Linked DNA regions of Mus musculus. The protein of the gene in region 1 purifies or fractionates together with the protein of each later gene. This does not show direct contact. Links are inferred from orthologs where the notes say so. Each region holds a gene or a part of one and is shown on either strand. Other genes may lie near its edges.

The links.
Region 2: the proteins of Pparg (region 1) and Stub1 purify together in Homo sapiens (affinity purification with western blotting; 3 studies listed by BioGRID). This does not show direct contact. The link is inferred for Mus musculus from reciprocal best matches to the Homo sapiens genes PPARG and STUB1.
Region 3: the proteins of Pparg (region 1) and Sp1 purify together in Homo sapiens (affinity purification with western blotting; 3 studies listed by BioGRID). This does not show direct contact. The link is inferred for Mus musculus from reciprocal best matches to the Homo sapiens genes PPARG and SP1.
Region 4: the proteins of Pparg (region 1) and Ctnnb1 purify together in Homo sapiens (affinity purification with western blotting; 4 studies listed by BioGRID). This does not show direct contact. The link is inferred for Mus musculus from reciprocal best matches to the Homo sapiens genes PPARG and CTNNB1.

What each region holds. Positions count from the first base shown.
Region 1 is NC_000072.6:115,438,797-115,442,362, reverse strand, and holds part of Pparg (peroxisome proliferator-activated receptor gamma), read right to left. Parts: intron 2,524-3,566; coding exon of another isoform or gene 2,516-2,523; coding exon 2,296-2,515; intron 872-2,295; coding exon 702-871; intron 1-701. UniProt on the Homo sapiens protein: Nuclear receptor that binds peroxisome proliferators such as hypolipidemic drugs and fatty acids.
Region 2 is NC_000083.6:25,830,070-25,834,131, forward strand, and holds Stub1 (STIP1 homology and U box-containing protein 1), read right to left. Parts: upstream 2,851-4,062; 5' UTR 2,785-2,850; coding exon 2,623-2,784; intron 2,176-2,622; coding exon 1,977-2,175; intron 1,893-1,976; coding exon 1,727-1,892; exon of another isoform or gene 1,563-1,726; coding exon 1,475-1,562; exon of another isoform or gene 1,297-1,474; coding exon 1,240-1,296; exon of another isoform or gene 1,150-1,239; coding exon 1,033-1,149; exon of another isoform or gene 942-1,032; coding exon 816-941; 3' UTR 565-815; downstream 1-564. Other genes in the region: Jmjd8 (jmjC domain-containing protein 8 precursor), read left to right, coding at 70-137, 231-365, 441-521. UniProt on the Homo sapiens protein: E3 ubiquitin-protein ligase which targets misfolded chaperone substrates towards proteasomal degradation.
Region 3 is NC_000081.6:102,426,753-102,430,318, reverse strand, and holds part of Sp1 (transcription factor Sp1), read right to left. Parts: intron 363-3,566; coding exon 163-362; intron 1-162. UniProt on the Homo sapiens protein: Transcription factor that can activate or repress transcription in response to physiological and pathological stimuli.
Region 4 is NC_000075.6:120,953,895-120,957,460, reverse strand, and holds part of Ctnnb1 (catenin beta-1), read right to left. Parts: intron 2,376-3,566; exon of another isoform or gene 2,314-2,375; coding exon 2,210-2,313; intron 2,133-2,209; coding exon 1,794-2,132; intron 1,648-1,793; coding exon 1,489-1,647; intron 355-1,488; coding exon 235-354; intron 1-234. UniProt on the Homo sapiens protein: Key downstream component of the canonical Wnt signaling pathway.

The DNA.
Region 1 (3,566 bases):
AAACACTCTTTTCACAGGGAAGAGCTCAGTTGTTGCCTTTTGCCCTTCCATTACACAAGGCTTGATCTGTGGCTGGACTACAGGAACAGCACTAGATTAGGGCTTGGTAGGGACAGACCTCACTAACCCGTAACTTTGCTTTTCCTTTTGTAGTCCTGGGAATAAAGAGCCTATTCAAGTGACCCCATGCCTTTGATGCACAATTTCTACAGTGCTAATATATTAATATGCTTAATATTACAGCATTAGTCCATGGGTCAAGTGATATACATATATAGTCTATCAAGCCTTTCTTGTTTAAGAGATTGTATAGCACGATGAAAAACACACTAGAGAAATCAGAAGATGTAGGTCCTAGTACTGGCTCATCATTCACTGTCTTGCTGCGATACCTTGGATAAGTCCTTTCAAAAACAAAACAAAACAAAACAAAACAAACAAAAAAACCCCCAAAAAACCTCTGCAAGATCCACTGAGATGCCTCAAAGACTCATTTTGGGGAAGGGGAAGTGGGATAGAGTAATGCTGCTTTTATTAGCTTTTCTCAGATTTTCAAATGTTATATTACTTGAAGAATGAGTTCTGCCAAAACAACTCCCCACAACTTTATCTTTAAATTCTTAGAGTGAGTTTGTAACAGGAAATAGAATAGGCAAAATTGCAGAAAACTCTAGGATGGTTTTTTTAAATTTAATTTTTACCTTGCATCCTTCACAAGCATGAACTCCATAGTGGAAGCCTGATGCTTTATCCCCACAGACTCGGCACTCAATGGCCATGAGGGAGTTAGAAGGTTCTTCATGAGGCCTGTTGTAGAGCTGGGTCTTTTCAGAATAATAAGGTGGAGATGCAGGTTCTACTTTGATCGCACCTGTGCATGGGAAAATTTGAGAAGATGGTTATCTCATGACAAACAATCTTAAAGAGGAACTGTGGCTTTCCATGGTGGCCTTCATATTTTCATGCCATAACTTTACTGTCTCAGAAGAGGCGCTGGGGAACATGAAGAAACGTTGGTGCTCAGATAGGAAAAGTAAGACTTTGTCATCTCAGGCAAGTCACAACACCCCAGAACCTCACCTGCACAAATAAAGCGGGAAGGGAATTAAAAGCCAGAGAATTAAGTGTGCTTCCCCCCCCCCCCCCCAAACTTCCCGCTGCTTTCCACAGACATTGCACAGGGTTTGGATAAGTGACGCTTACTTGGCTAGGCAATGGGCTGCATCTGGCATCCATTCTGCTATTATGGGTTTTATTGAAAAGGTGAATTTTAGAAATAGTTTTAAACTTTTCTTGCAAAAGAAATACAGAAGGAACATGGGCAAGAAAATGCCATGGTGAGCCTAGCCCGAGGTGCCAGGTTATCAACAGGGTTGAGTCTGAGGTGGTTTGTAAAGTGATCTTTGATAGAGAGTGGGAGCAACCTGTGTGAGGCAAGTACTGCGTTTGCCCGTGGCTCAGACCTATTGAATTTCCGTATTAGGCTCTAACCCTGAGCCACACAGATAAATACCCACGTATACTTTCTATCTAAAGAAAACAACTAGAAATTACAGGAAGTTCTTACTTATTATCAAGTAATGCTTGCCAGTGACACAGGGGTGACTCTGGAAAACCAGCACATCAGCCCACAAGATAAAAATCAAGGAAACAGCACCACAGAAATGATACTTTATCTCAAAAAGTTTGGTTCTGGTTTTCTTGAGGCTGATGTTTTATGTTAATTTACTTAATGTCATGATGATCTGTCAGTCAGCCACAATGTTCAAATGTAAGTTTATGCCCCAAACTAGGGTTTGAGGTAAATTTTACAAATTACAGCTTAGAAAGAAAGCCTAACTGTAATAGTAACTTAGCTATGATGAGTCATGTAAGTTGACCTACAGCTATGACTTACTGAAAAGAAGCTGGGAGAATTCAAAGTTTACATGATGGACTGTCAGCCTAAGACAAAACTGGCAATGTAGTCATCCTAGAAAATGTTCCAAAGATGGAAACAAGAAAGGAAAGAAAGGAGAAGATAGACGTGTGTGTGTGTGTGTGTGTGTGTGTGTGTGTGTGTGTGTGTGTGTGTAAGTTTGGGAACATTGGAGGGAGAAGAAGAAAGGGGGTTAGGTTGGGAACATTGTTGTGCTGTCTTATCTTGGCCTCCCACAGACATCTAGAACTTCAAGCGTAGTGGATAAACTGAGTAAAGATGCCTTCTTGTCAGAGTGCTAATCTCAGGAGCATTTATTCAATGGTTATTAAAAAACTGTCTAACTCCAATCCTAGTAGTTTGAAAAGTAAACATACTTTGGTATTCTTGGAGCTTCAGGTCATATTTGTAATCAGCAACCATTGGGTCAGCTCTTGTGAATGGAATGTCTTCATAGTGTGGAGCAGAAATGCTGGAGAAATCAACTGTGGTAAAGGGCTTGATGTCAAAGGAATGCGAGTGGTCTTCCATCACGGAGAGGTCCACAGAGCTGATTCCGAAGTTGGTGGGCCAGAATGGCATCTCTGTGTCAACCATGGTAATTTCTGAAGTGGAAAAAAAAGAACAGGATATGAGTCAAGTTCTGGAGGGCAGAGCAGTCCTCATAGACATAGAGAGGAGCTGAATGAGTTTAATAAAGCATTTCACTCAGACTTCCCTATGGGGGTGAGTGCACTACTGCCTTTCTAGTACCACCCAGGTAAGAAGGAAGTCAGCCTTTACCTGAGTTTCTGTATTGAGAGAACTTAAGATCTGCTTCATTAGCAAATTTCAACTATATGATACAGTATTTCTAACTATAATCATCTTGCTGTCTATCAGGACTCCAAAGTGTTATGGAAACCCTGGCCAGTCTTCCCTACGCCTAGGCCTTGGCAACTAGCAAGAGTATGTGGCATCTGGTTTCCTGAGTCTAGTTTGTTTTCCTTAGTACAATGTTCCTTTGGGTCATCTATATTGCTACAAGAAACAGAAGTTTTTCCTTTTTAAAGGCCATAGAGTATTTCACTGTATGTATGTGTGTGTGTGTGCATACATGTTCATGTGTGTGCATTCTGCATATGTGTGTATATATACTATGGGTTTTTTTTTTTACTTGTTTGAGTATGCATGCCTGTGTATACATGTGCATTCTGCATGTGTGTGTCTGTTCATACCACAGAGCTTTTTGTTTACTTTTACTTGTTTATATGTCTTAGATTCTCATGTTGATTTCATATCTTGGCTATAGTGAATAGTGTCATAATAAACATGGGAGCATAGAAGCTTTGACATAGTAATTTTTAGTTCCCTGGCCATATTTCTAGTGGTAGGGCTGCTAATCACATGGAAATTCCACTTTTGATTTTTTGAGAATCTCCACTTGCTTTCTATAATGGCTGCACAGTGTATAGTATACTTCACTAGAGATGTTTCTGTTGCTCCATATCCTCTCTTCTCTTCATGGACTAGCTATTCTAACAGACGTGGAATAGTATATTTTTGCTGTAGTTTTGATTTGCTTTTCTCTGGGGATTAGTGATATTGAACATTTTTTTTCATGTACCTTTTCACCATTTCTATGTTTTCTTTTTAGAAATAGCTACGA
Region 2 (4,062 bases), on another chromosome or scaffold:
TACTTCAAAACAAACTTGGGGGAGCCCATATATATTTTGTTCATCAGCTATTCATAACTGACCCCACAGGAGCTGGATCTGGGGTACCCTTCCACTGGCATGGGCCTGGTTTCTCAGAGGTTATCTATGGTCGGAAGGTCAGTACAGTGTTATGTGTGTGTTATGTGTGTGTGTAAATCTGGTGTCTATAGTCCATTGCACACATAGTGACCTTACACTCCTGCCTCCAGCGCTGGTTCCTCTACCCTCCTGAGAAGACACCTGAGTTCCACCCTAACAAGACCACATTGGCCTGGCTGCTGGAAATATACCCATCTCTAGCCCTGTCAGCACGGCCTCTAGAATGTACCATCCAGGCTGGTGAAGTCAGTAGCTGGTAGGTGGGGGTTGGGCTAACTCAAAAAGCCATGAATCAAAATTTTTTTTTTCTTTTCTCCCAGGTACTGTATTTTCCTGATCGGTGGTGGCATGCCACACTCAATCTGGACACCAGTGTCTTCATTTCTACCTTCCTTGGCTAGCCAGACAGGCAACTGGCAAGCCCACTGCACCAGCACATGCCAATGTAGTGCTCACAGACTTTATTACAGGACAGTGGCAGCAGCAGCAACCTCAGCCCACCCTCACCCACTCTCCAGCCCAGAAGGGGGACAAGGGAGGCTCATGGTCCAGCAAGGGGTATGCTGAGAAGGGGAGCAGTTCAGAACCCATCAGCAGGGCCGATGGGGGCAGGCCCAGGGACACAAACTATACAGGGACTGGAGCTTCCGTCTCCAGATCCTCCTGGGCCAGGGTGCCAGGCAGGACATGGGGCCTCAATAGTCCTCTACCCAGCCGTTCTCAGAGATGAAAGCGTCAATGACTTCCTTCATGGCCAAGTTGGGGATGAGCTGTTCCTGGGTCAGAGGGCTCCGGGTCACAGGGTCAAAGTGGCCCACACGCTGCAACAGAGTCAAGAGTGTTCAATGGCCTGAGTATACCGATCCGGGTACCAAGGCTCTCCATGGCCCGGTCTCCATGGGCCCTCCTTACCTGCAGGTGCTCCTCAATGTCCTTGCGGTCATAGGTGATACCACTGGGTGTAATGCAGGGTTCCCGCATCAGCTCAAAGCTAATCTTGCCACACAAGTAGTCAGGGATATCTCGCTTCTATAGCACAAGGGGAAAATGTCTAGAACTGGAGGGGGCTGTGGGGGTCACCATACCAGCAGCAGCCGATGAGCTTCCGGGGGTCCTCACCTTTCTTTTCTCGTCCACCTGAGAGAAGAGCTCATCCATATCTGCCATGTATTTATCCTGCAGAGTTGAGTGCCATGTGTGGGCAACTCCTGTCTCCACACAGACACACACACTCTGTCCACCAGGGCACTCATGTCATGCATGGGCCAACAGATCCACCAAAGGCTGGGGCACTTTTCATGCCACACACAAACACACACACAATGACCCACATGTGGACTAGGGGCACCCTCACGTGCTTGGCCTCAATGCAGGCCTGCTGGGCCCGGATGTGGCCATCATCTTCATGACCCTCGTGGTTCCGCTGACACTCCTCCAGTTCCCTGAGGGTTAACCAGAAGCTAGTTGGTGATGGCCCTGACCAGGAAATCACAGAGCCCGCCCCATCTCAGGCCTCTTTCCTCCTGGGCTTCCCATGTACCGGTTGTTGTCCTTCAATAAAAACACTTGTGCTGGTGACTCAGTGTCTGCTGGGGGAGGGACCCACCTCTCTCGCTCAGCAGCAATGAGCCTGGTGAGATATGAATGCAGCTCACTCTCCTGGTGGATGCGCCGTTCCTCGATACTGTTCCAGCGCTTCTTCTTAGCAATGCGAAGGGCACTAGGAATATCATCCCCAAAGTTGAGTCGCTGCTCCTTGGCCAAACTATAGGCTAGGGGAGTGGACACTTTTGGTTACACTTGTCAACAATCCTGGTCCCCCAAGGTGCCCTCAACCTTGCATCTTGTCAGCCCACCTCGCTGCAGATTGGCAATGGCCTCATCATAACTCTCCATCTCCAGCTGGCACTGCCCCAGGAAGAAGTGCGCCTTCACAGACTGCCCGTCCAGCTCCAGGGCTCGCCGGCAGTCAGCAAGTGCCTGTTCAGGCTGCTGCATCTTCAGATAGCACAGGGCCCGGTTAGTGTAGTACACTGCCACAAGTGGGTTCCGAGTCTGGGGACCAAGACCAGGCGTCAAAGAGTGTGGGCTCAGTTGATCCCCTCTCATTTAGCAAGCTGAAAGCCAATGATCTGGTCAATGCTCCAGCTTTGGGGGCCCATGGCTGGAATAGAGGAACTGGAGATTTCCGAATTATCAAGAGCTCTGGATTCTGGCCATGCTTTCTTGCCTCCAACTGCTTTTGAGAGAAATCCCACAACCCCTCTACAAGCTCTGGGCTTGGAAATCTCAAGGGGCAAGAGCTCCTGGTGTCATCCTTAGTCTTACTTAATCAAGCATCCCGCCCGCCAGTTCCCAGTCAAATCAGCCCTAGACTCGGGAACAGCAATCCGGGCACCAGGGGAGCGAGCGAGCCATCGAGTCCAGGCTGCCAGAAACCCTGTCCGGGATCACAAAACTGGGAGGCACATCGGGCCCCGCCCCCGCCCCTCCCGCACTCACGATGGCGCGGCCGTAGCAGGCCGCCGCCTCCGGGTACTTGCGGCCCACGAAGAGCCGGTTTCCCTGCTCCTTGAGCTCTTGCGCACTCGGGCTCTTATCAGGGCTGCCGCCGCCACCAGTGCCCAGCCGCGCGCCGCCCTCCTTTTCCTCCTTGCCCTTCATGGCGCCGCGCGGCACGGCTTGGGCTCCGCGCCCGGCCACCTAGATCTCGCAGCCCGCGCAGCGATCAGCTCCGCCCGGTCGGCGATCCGCCACCGGAACTTCCGGTGTGGGGCGGAGCTGGCATGGGGACACGTGAGCAAAGGCGGAGCCTCGTGGATTGAGCCAGTTCCCTTAGCTCTGAGAAGCTTCCGCCGCGCTCTACAGGCCCCGCCCTACAGTAACCGAGACCTACCCTGCTCAGACCAAGGCTCCGCCCATCGGCGCTCAAGCCCCGCCCTCCGGCCCCAAGCTGGGCGAACGTGGCAGCGGTCATTGAGAAGTGGCCTTCCGAGGGCCGGTCACTAGGCCCGGGTCCTAGCGCACCACCAGGGCACACACGGGCTCACGCGACAGCCTGGGAACGTCTGGACCGCCGGTAGGAAGGCGGAATTGAGGGTAGAAGAGAGGCCCGCAGATCAGACCGCTCTCGAGGGGCTTCCTCGGGAATCGGGAGGAGCTGCCTGCGGCCATTAATGGCTGAGAAACAAGCACGTGACACGCTGACACCGAAGGACCTTCTGCGGTTGCTATAGAAGTAGCTGCGGGTGCACGGCTGGACTCTTGCCCTTCTCGCGGTCATGGGGAGGAGCTTCTTCAAGGGCGGAGCCGGCTGGTTTCCTTGGAGAGCGCCTGCACCAAGACCCTTTGACCCCATGGTCTGTCGTTGAGGCATTTCTAGCCGCTGCTGCATCAGCTGTTGGCCGCTAACACCCCCAACCCCGGACTTGGAGAAGCAGAACTCGGCTTTCTGCTGATCTGGGCGCCGCAGTCAAACTTCGCTGCGTGGTTTCTGCCACTGCCTCGAGTGAGTAGGTAGCATCTTTGCCCAAGTTGGGTGGGGGCTCTAGGAGCTCAAAAAAAGCTATCCCCAGAACCTCCTTGTCACTCTTTGCAGTGGTCCTGGAGGCAGAGGTTTCTGGGGTTGCAGCTTTCATATACGAAGAGGCGGTGGCTACAGTTCCTAGCTTGCTAACCCTCCAGTACACACTCAAGCACTACTTGCTGTTTCTAGCCCAGGTGCAAGAGTTCACTGCCTTTCTGAGCGGGGCTGAGCGGGGCCTGAGAGGTCATCCAGGGCCCCATCATGGTTCTGGTGGTTAGTAACTTGACCCCAGAACCCTTGTGGACCTCACTAGTGAGTGTCTTAGAGTTGTAGACTCTTCGTCTTGTGCAAACTTGGGGGGCAGATGTATGCCCAGACCTGCTGCCTGACCTTCACCCTGACTGGGCCTCCCACAA
Region 3 (3,566 bases), on another chromosome or scaffold:
ATTGGATCCCATTATAGATGGTTATGAGCCTCTATGTGGTTGCTGGGAATTGAAATCAGGACCTCTGGAAGAGCAGTCAATGCTCTTAACCACTGAGCCATTTCTCCAGCCCTCATTTCTTTTCTGTCTACTACTTTCCCTTTTCCCTTGGGTCTTACTCACCTGTATGTGTACGTTTATGTCTCTGAAGCTCGTCCGAACGTGTAAAGCGCTTCCCACAATATGACCAATTACACATGAATGGCCTCTCCCCTGTATGCCAGCGCAAGTGTGCTCGGAGATGTGAGGTCTTGCCATATACTTTGCCGCATCCTTGGATGTGACAAATGTGCTGTTTCTTTTTGCCAGGATCTCCTGAGGCTCTAAAAATGAGAATATTATGATTTATCACTCTGGAGCTAGAAAGTAGGGAACCAAGAAATTAGAATAGTAATTGTCAGAAGCAATTACTTAACCCATTCCTTTGTTTTTGAGAAAGACTCTATGTAGCTCTGGCTGTCCTGGAACTTACTAAGTAGACAAGGCTGACCTCAGAGATCCATCTGCCTCTGCTTGCATAAAACTAGGTAGGATTAAAGGTATGTGTGCCATTATACCTGTCACTAGGACTTACTTTTATATGCCATTCCGAAGAAAGACACAAGTGGATCTTCGTGAGTTCAAGGGAAGACTGGTCTACAGATCAAGTTTCAGGACAGCCTAGGCCTGTCACACAGAGAAGCCCTGTATCTGTCTCTCTGTTTGTGTATCAAAATGTTTTTTAGATTTATTTATTTTATGAGTATTTTGCCTGCACATATGTATGTGCAACACAGCACACCGGTGCCTACTGAGTTTAGAGAAGGATGGTAGGTCTCCTGGAACTGAAGTTACATATGGCTGTGAACCACCACATAGGGTACTAGGAATCTAAACCAGTCCTCTGGAAGAACAATCAATGCTTTTAGCTGCTGAGCTATTGTTCCAGCCCCTGTTGTTTTTGTTGTTTTGTTTATATTTGGGGACAGAGTTTCAATGTATAGTTGAAATGAGTTTCTGGCTGTCCTGAAACTCACTCTGTAGATCAGGCTGGCCTCAAACTCAGGTATCTGCCTGCTTCTGCCTCCCAAGGGCTGGAATTAAAGGCAGGTGCCATCACACCTAGCTTTTGTTTTTTCAACTTTTATTTTTATTGGGAGCTAGAGAGACTGCTCAGTAGTTAAGAGTACTTTTGCTCTTCCTGAGGACTGGAATTTCATTTCAAGCAACTACAACCAAGTGACCCACACCACCAGATTCAAAGACTCTAAAGTCTTCTCTGGCCTATTAGCTGCATATAAATACACAAATAAAATTTTTTTGGCTTATTTATTTTGGAGACAGGGTTTCTTTGTGTAACCTTGGCTGTCTTGGAACTTGCTCTGTAGACAAAAAAAAAAAAAAAAAAAAAAAAGACTGTGGGATCAGAAATCTTGTAAAGGGGTAATATAGTACATTTGAGTAGGTCCTATTATGCAGCTCTTGTTTCTGACTTCTCATTGACTCTGATTGCTAGGTAAATGTTCTACCATGGAGTTCATCTCAAGTTTGTGAGTTTATTTACTTACTTTTGCAACAAGGCCTCATTGTATAGCCCAAATTACCATAGAACTCCTTGTGTAGAACAGGCTGGCTCTAAAAGTGGGATTATCCTTGTGCCTCTGTTTCCTGAGTGATGAGATTACAGATATACACTACCATGTCTGGCTCCACAGAATGTTTGTTGTTCCAGACAGAATCTCTTTTATTTAGCTCATGCTGGTCTTAAATTGACTTTTAGATTAGACAGGTTTCAAATCTGCAATTTTTCTGCTTCCAAGTACTGTGGCAGCAGATCTGTGTCACCAACAAATCTAGCTTCACTGACTTTCTTACATGAATTTTTTTTTTGTTTTGTTTTTTGCACAAAGTTCTATCCTATTAGCCCATGCTCTCTTTTTATTATTTTTTATGTGCATGAGCAGTGTTTGCTTTTCTTATGGGTGGCTACTAATTTTATGCTGGTGCTGGCACATGCTTTTAATTCCAGCACACAAGAGGCAGAGGCAGGTGTATCTCTGAGTTCAAAGCCAGCCTGGTGTTCCACAACAGCCAGGGCTACATAAAAATAAATAAATAAATACCCTATCTTGAAAAACTAAAACAAAATGAGCCACTCCTTCAGGCCTAAATATGAAGGTAAAAGAAAAGCATGGAGGCTTCTCCTTGTAATCTCTGCTACTCGAGAGACAGAAGCACAAGAACCAAAAACTCAAGGCCAAGATAGGAGATGTATCATCTGATTCCATGTAAATTAAAATAAGGAGCTTAGAGAAGAATTATAATTCAGAACATGGCCACTCTGGCAAGAGATCATATCCAAAGATCTTCTAGGTCTATGTGATCCGAGAACTCACTATGCCATCCCCATTGGAAGACAGGCTGGGATACAGACATGCCTTTAATCCTAGGAGACTGAGGCAAGCATATCTCTTGAGTTCTAGTCAGTTCTGTTCAGTTAATGGAATTCAGAGGCAGTTTACAGGGAGAGGTTTCCCCTCCCCTACAGAGACAGGTTGAAGAGAGTTATAATAAGCTAGACACAGTTAAAGACAGAACAAGTGGGCTGGAGAGATGGCTCAGTGGTTAGGTCCTGAGTTCAAATCCCAGCAACCACATGGTGGCTCACAACCATCTGTAATGAGATCTGATGCCCTCTTCTGGGGTGTCTGAAGACAGCTACAGTGTACTTACATATAATAAATAAATATTAAAAAAAAAAGAACAAGCTAGAGAATAAGGAGTCAAAAGGCCGGGCGTGGTGGCGCACACCTTTAATCCCAGCACTCGGGAGGCAGAGGCAGGCAGATTTCTGAGTTCGAGGCCAGCCTGGTCTACAAAGTGAGCTCCAGGACAGCCAGGGCTATACAGAGAAACCCTGTCTCGAAAAACCAAAAAAAAAAAAAAAAAAGAGTCAAAAGATTAGAACAGATTGCTAGTTAGTTTGAGGTAAAGCAAGGAAATTAAGTGAGATGCAAAAAGAAGCCCATTTGAATCAGTCAGCTTGGAGGGGAGTTCTGAGTCAGAATAGCTGAATTGAGCCAGCAAAAAACAGCTTACTCAGCAGTAAATCTCAGAGGCTGAAGGTTTCCAGGCCTAGTTTAAAGGACAATTATCTGGTGAATAAAAGTTACATTTACAGGGGCTGGGTGTGGTCTCACACCTTTAACCATAGCACTGCGAAGGCAGAGGCAGGAGTGTCTCAATGAATTCAAGGCCAGCCTGGTTTGCATAGTGAGTTCCAGAAAAACCAGGGCTACAAAAAGACACCTTCTCAAAAACAACAATAAAATAAAAGCTGCTGAGCTTGGCAGACCACGTGACTTTAATCCTAGCACTTGGGAGGCTAAAGCAGGAGAGGTCAAATAGTGAGATCTTGTCTCAAAAAACAAAAACCAACCAAACCAGAAAAATACAATACATATTGCAAATACCTGTTAAAAGTCCATTCTGACTCTTCTCCCCCTGCCCCTAACCTAAACTTTTCCAGTTTATAATCTTCCCTCCCT
Region 4 (3,566 bases), on another chromosome or scaffold:
TGCACACTGTGGTGCACACTTGCCCAATCTGGAGTGTCAGCAGCACCTACATGGCTATGTGCCCAGGAGAAGGCTGCTCTGGCATATAGGATTTCTAGAATTGTCCTCTGGCCCGCCCTTCTCCTCAGGCTATAGTACCAATGCTCTTGACTAAAAAGTCAAGGCTTCTGGTCTCCAATCCTCTCAATGTCTAGGGACTCAAGTCTGGAGAGCAGTCACCTGAAGCCGACGTACCTGCACAAACAATGGAATGGTATTGAGTCCTCGGATTACAATCCGGTTGTGAACGTCCCGAGCAAGGATGTGGAGAGCTCCAGTACACCCTTCTACTATCTCCTCCATGCGCACGCCCTCCTAGGAGGAGAAAAGCAGTTAAGCTGGCACTCTCTGAGCAGCAGTTGTAGCCACTTATGTGCACTGTCTCCAAAGATCCTCACAGCTTGCCCAGTGCTCTGTAATGGAGGGTCCCTTCCGCTGAGTATAACGGAAGGCTCCTAGCAACAGGCCTTCTCCCTGCAGTGTGAGCAGCTTCCCTGTGCTGTGACTTCCAGCCTCCACCTGTGCCAAGCGCAGCGTGCCATTACTCACCCAGACTCACTCTCGCCATGCACCCTACGGGATCAGCAAGTCCCAAGGGTGACCACAGGCACAATGTAACGTCAAGAATTTTGGCACGAGAGACTTGAGCTTCTGCAGATATAAACCCCACAGGCACTGAGGACAGCGGCTGTCCAGCTTCCTTACCCTTCCAATCCCAAAGTTGGCTTTGTCACTACATGGAAGAGCATCAACCTTTCTGGTAAAGGTAGGTGAGTGTGGGCCATTCCTTCCCACTTGTCCTCTATTTCTTACACGTTATCTGGTGAAAAGATTCCCAGCTTTATCCTACAGTTAAACCCCACTGAGCTGCCAGGGGATTGCCCAGAGACCCATCAGCAGCCTGTGTATTTGCTTTCTAATCTATGTTTTAACTCTATTACTTTTATAGTCAACTTGATTTCTTTTTTTTTTTTCCCAACCTGATTTCTATAAGGACACAGAATTTCGTTCATAGACTATAAGGCACAGCACCTTAACTATGAGGCCATCCTATGGAAAGGGGCCAGAAACAATAATAGTAAGCAAACACACAAAACCACCAGCAGTATGGGGTTCTAAAACCTATTGTAACAGGCTTCCTCTTGATTTTTGATGTGGAGAAGAACCTGATAGAGTGGATACAAATATGGCTGTGGTAGATTTTCTACTTTGGCACATGCATGCAAGATCTAACCCACAACAGTACATTACACTCCATGTCCCTTTTTAAGGTTGACCAGGGAAACATTACCAGAGCTTGTCACACAGTGTCTCTAGAAACCAGACAGTCTAGTCTTTTTCAGTCATTAGCAGCCCTTCACCAAAAGATGGGAAGGTAGAGACAGCACATGGAGATTGCATTTACCCCACCCCATTTACAACAGCCATGTTTCATAAAGATCTACCTACCACAAACTGCTGCTGCGTTCCACCCATGGAGGTGCGCCGTTGGGTGTCCTGATGTGCTCGTACAAGCAGCTGAACTAGTCGTGGAATAGCACCCTGTTCCCGCAAAGGCGCATGATTTGCTGGGCAAAGGGCAAGGTTTCGAATCAATCCAACAGTTGCCTACAGAGGAAAGAATCAGTAGACAACACAACAAAGCACAAGCAGTGTTGAGTGAAATGGACGCTTCGGGTCCCACCACCTATTCCCAGCCATCCATCCCAGCAGACCATCTCTATGCCCAACAGAGCTCCCTGCTAACAGTTCACCTTTATCAGAGGCCAGTGGGATGGTGGGTGCAGGAGTTTAACCACAACAGGCAGTCCATAATGAAGGCGAACGGCATTCTGGGCCATCTCGGCTTCCTGATGCCGGCTGGTCAGATGACGAAGAGCACAGATGGCAGGCTCAGTGATGTCTTCCCTGTCACCAGCACGAAGGACGGTGCGTACAAGAGCCTCTATGCCACCCACTTGGCACACCATCATCTTGTTTTTGTAATTATTGCAAGTGAGGTTAGAGAGAATTCCAGCTGCACAGGTGACCACATTTATATCATCGGAACCCAGAAGCTGCACTAGAGTCCCAAGGAGGCCTTCCATCCCTTCCTGTTGAGAGAAAAACATGATGAGCTCAGAGCTCATGCAGACCCTAGTGCCAAGGCAGCAACTTGTGTACAATATACCTGCTTAGTCGCTGCATCTGAAAGGTTTCTGAGAGTCCAAAGACAGTTTTGAACAAGTCGCTGACTTGGGTCTGTCAGATGAAGCCCCAGTGCCTGCATCCCACCTGCAAAGTCAGACATCAAAGGCAGGCCTGTTAGCCCTCATGGTGTCCCAACTCTGAGAACTTTATTTCCTTCAGTTTTTTAGAATGTCACACAGCTTTTCTAATCTACCTTGCCAGTGATAACTCATGTCAAATGGCTGCTATACCCTTCTATTGTTTATGGACAGTTTCACCATCTGTAACATTCCTACCAACTCCTTTCATTCAGCTACTTCCAGAATGACCCTCAGCACCAGGGACAGTGTTGACCACCACATGGTGTGCGCAAAGGGCAACACTGCAGTCCTCAAGTCAAGAGGTCATGTGAGTGGGAAGGCAACGCCTGCAAGTCTTGCAGTACAGATGTAAACAGACAAGTAGACACCCTGGGACTCAGGAGTCAGGTAAGCTGCACTGCGGTGCTCAGTCAGTCAGGACTACTTAAGTCTGAGTTCCAGGATAGCCTGGGCAACAATGACAAGCCATATAACAAGTCACTTAAAATATACCTCTTTCAACTGAAATCACTTCTGAGTTAGACACACATTCTTACCTCCTTGTTTGTCCCTCATACTTAGTGTCCTCAAACTTGACACAAATTTGTCACAACTATAATTTAGTCCACCTTCCTGACTTGATGGCAATGGTCTCTCAAATAATTCCTTCCTCACAGCTTGCTTCCAGCTGCCGGCAGTGACCTCCATTGAGGCTGATGCTCCGCCTTTGGTAAATGGCTGGCTACTCTCTTTATGCAACTTGCCCCAAATGCTCATCAGAATAGCTAAGGAGACAGCAGGTCTGAATGCTAACAGCCCATTAGGCTCTTCTAAGACACTCCTCTTCTTTACTGTCATAAACTCGGGCAGCTTCCCAGCCTTAACCTGCCTTTCCCCATGTCCTTCTAGCTGAATGTCACCTTAAGGACTAGGACTGTTCCTCTATTTACTTGCTAGGTTTTCTAAGCTCGCTGTTTCCTTCAGTGGTCCCCACTGTGCAGCTATTCTCCTGCTCAGCAAAGCTGCACAGCACACGGCTGCCTCTAATACTACCTCCTCAGTTATCAACCTTGAGGACATTAAGCAGTGTTCTCCATATGTGTTACCAAAACAGCACAGTCACCTGTGCACCAGGGCCCTGCCTAGCTCATTAACTGCTCAAGTTGTATTTGTACCACCATCCTCCTTGCTTTAAGACATGGCCCACACAATGCTCTACACTCAGAGAGCATGTAAGCTCCCAGGTCTCATGCAAAATCAAGGTTGCTGCTTCCCCCG